Linked DNA regions of Oryza sativa Japonica Group. Each later gene encodes a partner of the first gene's protein in a complex. Links are inferred from orthologs where the notes say so. Each region holds a gene or a part of one and is shown on either strand. Other genes may lie near its edges.

Region 1 (4,146 bases):
CAACTCAACATGCATGCCACATTCATTTTGAACTGTTAAGCAAACTAATCCTGTAGGTCAATAGGCACAAATGAAGATTTCCTCAGGGAAAAAAACTAAGAAAAATGCATTACCATTGTGCATTTCACATTCAAATGCAAGGAGTTTATGTTACACATTTGCAATGCAAGAAATAGTCTGGCTCATTGCATTATCAATGGACCATAATGAATTCCAATGGTAATAACTTTAATAATTTCATAAACATGATCTACCAAGAAATAATTTAAATAGTATCATCAGAAGTTTACCTGCTGCAGAAGCATTGTTGGGAGGTCCTCCAAGTCACAATTGTAGCTATTTACCAAATATCCATCGGAGGGCTTCCCAGTCAATGATCCAGCAATGCTTGGGGAGCCTTCACCCATTAGACTAATTTGGCTATCTTTCACGATCACCTTAGTATTGAACTGTGACCTGGATTTGTACTTAAGTTCATGGTTATCAGAAGGCTTTGCAATCCGATCTGCAGCAAGGATAGGCTGAGGAACTTTCAAGCATAGAGACCAGGAGGAAGTTCGAGAATGCCAAGTAGGAAGAGAACGCAAATGGAGATATGGAACCCTGCTGACCTGCAATACAGAAAGGAAATTTAAATAATGATCTACATGCAAATATGTAGCATCAACAAGCTTATAGGAGCTATACCACACTCTCAAGCTCCACGAGTACTTTGTTAGAAAATATCCTGTGAGCCACTGTCAAGCAGAAATGACCTAGCAGGCCATAATCATCACCTGCAACCTGAGCAGGACTTTGGTAGCGACCAATGTTAAGGGATTTCTCCCTGACCTTCCTAAGAATGTTCTCATGAAACAATTGTAGCAAGTAAATTTCCAGACTTCTGGGATTAGGAAACCCTGTCACGTCTTTTCTTAAAGGGTCCAGCTTCCCATTCATAGTGACCAACACAAGATTTGAGGCATCCTCTGAATTGGCATGGTCTTCATGGTCTACCATTTCTGAGTCACTACCATCTCCAGAATGAGCAAGCGAGAGGCACAATGAACATTCCTGACCAATAGCTAATTGGAGAAAATCTTCACGCATTCCAGTCACATTGATGCCTTGAGATTGGACAAATGTCTCACGGATCACCATATCAAATACCTACAAAGGCATACACTAAGCTAAGCCACAGAACGATATACATAAATAAATAATGATAAACCCGGGGAGGGAGGGGTGGTGGTGGTGCAAGATGTCATCACATGATATACAATAATTTTCCATGATGCTATAGTTAAAACTTAATTAAGAGCATTCTATACAGGAATTCTTAGCATGCCAAGCAAACACTTAGCTGACCTGCTCCTCAAATATTGACTTGTGGATGTTGCGAAGAATAGAATGTGCATGTTTGATGGATTTATTGACATCATCATTGTCTGTTTCAGAGGAAGTGATGCTTGAGATGCCATCTTTCAGTTTATGACCGTAGTTTTCCACACCATTGGCACTGTCCCCTCGAAAATTAAGACTCAAGAAACGGCAAGATTTTTGAGGGACTTGTACGGACAAAGTGCCTGATGAGTCTTGGTCAATTGGAATCAATGGTAATGATGACAGTCGAGGCATTGCTGCTGTGTCCAATTGAGAAGTGTCGATCAGATCAAACATGAAGCCCTCACTTCCTGGACCACTTCCACCAAACCGTTGCCGCTTCACTTTCCAGTTCTGCTGCAATCTGCCACCAATCCGCGAGTAATTCATGGTGCAAACTTGGGTGAAGTGGTATTGAAATAACAACTCAAGTTAAGCAACAAGACATGCCTGATTAATGAGCCATAGAACCTAGACTCTTTTTGGAACTGCTGCTCCATTGTTTTGGCAGATTGTTTGAAGTAGCGTGACAAATGCTGCGAGGACACAAATGAAGATCACAACAGGAAGCATGATAGATGCAAGACGGAAGAGGAAAGTGGCAAGCGATTACAGAAACAAATTGAGTTTGTTTTAGGTTCCATTTTGTTCCTTAGCCGTGAATTGAAGTAATCAAACATAGGCAGTAGGGTGACATACCCGAACGCGCTGAAGCTTGGTGGCTGCAGAGACTGCGGTGTCAACTAAGGTTTCGGTTGGCAGCGATTTGGGCTTGAGCATCCCAGCGACTGCCACTGCATCATTGGCTTCGACCTGCATTATCAAGTAGGATTGTCTCCTCTGTCAGGAATACAAACAATCGCATGCAAATAGAATGGGGTTTGCAGTATTGTGTGTGGGAAAACTGACAGTGGAGATGAGGTCAATGACGACGGAGAGCTCCTGCTGCGCCTGCTGCAGGCTCTCCATCATGCCCTGCCACGGCCATGCCTGCTGCTGCTGCTGCTGGGCGGTGTCCTTCTTGGGCTTCTTGGCGTCCTTGTCGATGACCCAGGAGAAGTCGATGCGGCGGATGGCGGAGAGGCGCTGCTCCTCGCTGCTGGTGTCGCTGCGGAATCCGAATCTCAGTGAACGGAGAGAGGTGGGGGTTAGGGTTTCAGGGGAAGGGAAGAGGTTGGTTTGGTTTGGTGCTTACGGCGGGTAGTGCTCGTTGCCGGCCTCGTCGATGGCGTGGAGGCGCTTGATGGGGAGCTTGTCGAGGTCCACCCGCACGGCTTCCTCCATGGCGAAGGCGAGGCAGCGGCGGCGGAGGGCTTAATTAGATCGGAGACAATTTTTTGAGTGAAGGAGGCACTGCCTTGGGGCTCACGAGTCCCGCTCAAGAGCGGAAGGGATCCCCCCGCGGGAAGCAGAAGCGGCGGCCGGCGGGGTGGGGGCGGCCGCCGGCGAGGTCGTCGGGCGGCGGAGTGAGGAGGAGCGAATTCTCGATCGAGTTTGGGTGCTGGACTTTGGAGTTTCTTCTCTGGAAGAGAGTATGATGGGCCTTTTTTGACTTTGGGCCGGCCTAACAAGTAAATGTTGCTGGGCTGGCCTGGACCAGTTCCAGACTTCCACTACTCCGAATGGGCCGGAGTTTCTTTTTTTATTTTCCATTTCTCAAGGCCCCTCGGGAGCAGGAATTATCTCCTAGCAATGGTAAAACGAAGGCTTATATCAGAGAGCTTTTTCTTATCAATGCCTACAAGACAACAAGGCCTGTTCTTCTGTTGTTCGTCCATGGATCACAAGTTTCAGGGAACAAAACTCTCTTTGGTGCCGGTGGCAATGATATTCCAAACTCAACCGCAAGTTGTGATCAATCTGCAACGTATCAGGGACGACGGATATTTCACAAAATAAGTAGTAGTATGTCGATTCTTCAGTCCAGCTTCTGAATTCCAGGCCTTTTGAAGTTGAGCAAGCAAGTAAATTCAGATAATCTCTCTGCAAACCAACTATACAGTGAGTGACTGAATTTCTACTTGCGCGGATCGATGTGCCAGAGCATTGCCAATCACAGAAACAAGTTGCAGATGAGATTGTCATACTAGCTTACAATCAATGCCACCATCCGCTCAAAACTCACAGCAATCAATCACAACCTGAAGAAACAATGAGGACAAACCACTGTCCACCGGATCGAGTTGGCAAAACCTGGACGACCAAGGGGGTTCGGAGAATAAAACTCCGACCCCTATTCATGAAAAAGAAAAGCACCGCAAACAATTCGTATCATAATTCTTGCAGGTAACACCGTAACACCATAAGTTTGAGAGAAATGCGCCAAATACAACAAATTTGGCGATTTGTTTGTTTTCTCTTTTTCAAAGGTAGCATATAGATTTGCCTTGATAATAGTATCAACAGATGCAGCGCTATAACCATATATACTCCATTTCTTCTCCATTCCCTTGCTTCATTGATTTATGACATACTCAGAAAGACTAAAATAAGCATCAATTTCACACTTCACAGGCCTGTTGTTCACAACTACTGAGCTGCTGTGTTATTGTATTGCTACTAATCAATACCAGCATCTCTTTAGAAAAATCATTAGCGATACACAGCTTACATTTTATTGGATATCACTGTCATTGTATCACATCCACTCCTCCCAGATCAACATATGCAATCATCATGCCTATGCCAGTTTTTTGCATGGTAAATTCTACTACTACCAGTGGCCCAGTGCCATGTGATGTCAACCCCAACAGCTTTGTATATTATTACCCCTTATTATAAACG
Region 2 (2,603 bases), on another chromosome or scaffold:
GCTACAAACATTGAATTGTTTGGCCAAAATTGGCAGCTAATTCTAAAGGCGCAAAAATGTACGATAGAGAATTATATGAGGAAACTAGTAGCTAATAACCAATATCACTTTCCAGTATAACTGGGTTTCACAAACCATGAGCAATCTCCCAGAGTTTATTATCACAAATTGTGCCTTTTGTGGCTGCTTAGTTATTCTTCAATAAAATGTTGTTCATTAAAAAATCAGAAGGAAAAGCATTCACATTGTGGCGGACGCAAGATTAGCAAAACATCCAGAGTAGGTACTTGAAAGTTGAAGGAACTTATACAGTTATATGCTAGTTGAGTAGTATATATGAAATTGTTCATTTTTTCCTGGGACCTCAGGTTTACTACCTTACCTTAGTACGATGCACGAACATTATGTGAGCGAGCTACAAATCAGAACTAAAACCTACTGGAAGGAAGTCCGTTACACAATTAGTCACTTAACAAAAGCAATAGGACAAAATTAAATCAGTTACTAAGCGTGATCTGGCCACGACACTAAGAAAACGGTTAATTTCTCCCAAATTTTAACATCAGTAGGCATAAAGTAACAATGCTGAGAAAATCACAAGCTCAATTTTTTTTAGAATATCGATCACAAGCTCTAATGCTTCAATTCTTAGACGATTACACAGAGATACCACCAGTAATTTGTTTTCTTTGGAAGAAAATACTACTAGTACAAGATAATTGAGCAAAATAAATACCTACTGGGCGCCGTCCTCGGGGAAGCGCGTGTCGACCCCGCCGTGGCCGTGCTGCCCCGCAACGCCGGAAGCCGCAGCCGCGGCGCCGCCCCCGCCGCCGGGACCCGCGGCGGAGGCACCTCCGGCGCCGTGCTGGAGCTCGATGACGAGCCAGCGGACGGCCTTGCTCATCTGCTCGAGGCGGACGGCGCTGATGGGCTTGATGCCGGGGGCGGCCAGCGCCGCGGAGGAGGAGGAGGAGGCGCCGGTGGCCTCGTCGACGAGGCACTCGGAACCGATTCGCTGGCGGATCGACTCGACGAGCTCCTCCGCGTGGTCGCAGGCGACGCGGAAGAGCTCCCACCGCTGCTTGAACGCCTCGAGCGCCGCGTCCGTGGCCGCGTTCTTCTCTCCCCCCGACTGCCCCCGCGCCTCCACCACCGCCGCCGCCGCCGCCACGAACTCCTGGTACGCCTCGCTCAGCTCGTCCACCGTCGCCTCCATCTCCCCTCGCCGCCGGCGGCTTCTCCCCGACACGCTCCACCGCCTCCGCCGCCTAGATTCCCCACCAACTTGACCTCTACTCGTCACAGTGTCAAACTCCCAAACCAGTAGCGTCAAAAAAAAAAAAATTCCTCGTGGGCCGCAGATTCGCGGCCCACTTTAAAATGGGCCGTCTCGTGCTGTATCTTCTTACTGGGCCGCACGTTAAAACTTGGGCTGGGACGCGAGGCGAGGGTTTTTCTCGAGGGATAAATATGGGCCTCGCCGCTCGCCGGAGCGGCGGTGGCTTCCCCCTCGCCGACGGCGAGGCGGGCGACCCCGGTGGGATCCTGTGAGCCGGCGACGGCTTCCCCCAACTCCCGCCTCGCCGCGCGCCGATGTTGCCGTCTCCCTGCGCGATTCCGCCGCCGCCGCGATGTATTTATTCGGTGTTCGCCATTTCTAGTCAATCGTCAAAGGTGATTTGACTGTACCACGATGATTTAATTTCATATGCAGTACTGGTGATGATGAGATGTTTGCTTGTTGTCAATTTTGTTCGCCTCAAATTTCATATGCTATTATTGCTGAATCGTCACTACCCGTAGGTTGTTTCTCCCGTTCATATGGAGTAACTGAAATATGAGGCCGAGATCTTTAGATTAGATCACCAGATAGACTGATGGCTCTATCACTGGCACACAATCGATGCACTACATCTTTTTTTTATTAGAAATGAAAGGCAGGGAATTTGTGGTGAGCAATGGGGGTGAAGGATGTGAGAAAGGTAGAGTCTTACATTAATTCATAACATGTCCCTGTTCCCAGCAAATTTTGCCGTGTTGTACTGGCATGGCATGACAGCGTACCAAATGACTTTCCTCAGATAATCCATTCACTGCGACTTGGTAGTTGAGTGTTGCGTTGTCTTCCGATAGTCTCAGTCAAGAGTCAACCTTTTTACCTGGTTAAACTGGAATCTTATTCTTTAATGCTAATACGCAGTGTGTTCCCTCTTTTAGTTGTCCAAAGTGGGAAACGCAAACTGGTAGATAGAAGTATCTCTTAGTTCCATCTTCAAGGCCTTACCAGTTGCATGCATGAGTATGATGCTCAGGCAGAAAACTCTGTTTAGAGACAAGGTTTATGTTGCTCTCCCTGAGCAACCCACCGATGGCAAGTCCATACTGTCTTGGGTTATCGATCATGCATCCAGTAGCACGGAGATCATCATCATCCACATAATTACTACATCGAACTTTGGTTAGTTATGTGCAGTGGCTTTATCTAAAGTTATTTTTCTCGATGTCAATAAAGGAGGTGATATAGTCATATAGCTATCTTATGATGTTTGTACCATAATCTTTAGCTTCTGGCTTTCTGCCATATTCTGGTTTATTTCCTC

The links.
Region 2: mediator of RNA polymerase II transcription subunit 17 (region 1) and mediator of RNA polymerase II transcription subunit 32 share a complex: the UniProt entries of both Arabidopsis thaliana proteins name them as parts of the mediator complex. The link is inferred for Oryza sativa Japonica Group from reciprocal best matches to the Arabidopsis thaliana genes AT5G20170 and MED32.

What each region holds. Positions count from the first base shown.
Region 1 is NC_089046.1:28,095,932-28,100,077, reverse strand, and holds the start of mediator of RNA polymerase II transcription subunit 17, read right to left. Parts: upstream 2,853-4,146; 5' UTR 2,647-2,852; coding exon 2,558-2,646; intron 2,471-2,557; coding exon 2,272-2,470; intron 2,176-2,271; coding exon 2,062-2,175; intron 1,899-2,061; coding exon 1,813-1,898; intron 1,727-1,812; coding exon 1,348-1,726; intron 1,150-1,347; coding exon 688-1,149; intron 612-687; coding exon 291-611; intron 1-290. UniProt on the Arabidopsis thaliana protein: Component of the Mediator complex, a coactivator involved in the regulated transcription of nearly all RNA polymerase II-dependent genes.
Region 2 is NC_089044.1:22,150,970-22,153,572, reverse strand, and holds mediator of RNA polymerase II transcription subunit 32, read right to left. Parts: upstream 1,310-2,603; 5' UTR 1,220-1,309; coding exon 737-1,219; 3' UTR 584-736; downstream 1-583. Other genes in the region: U-box domain-containing protein 70-like, read left to right, coding at 2,299-2,461. UniProt on the Arabidopsis thaliana protein: Component of the Mediator complex, a coactivator involved in the regulated transcription of nearly all RNA polymerase II-dependent genes.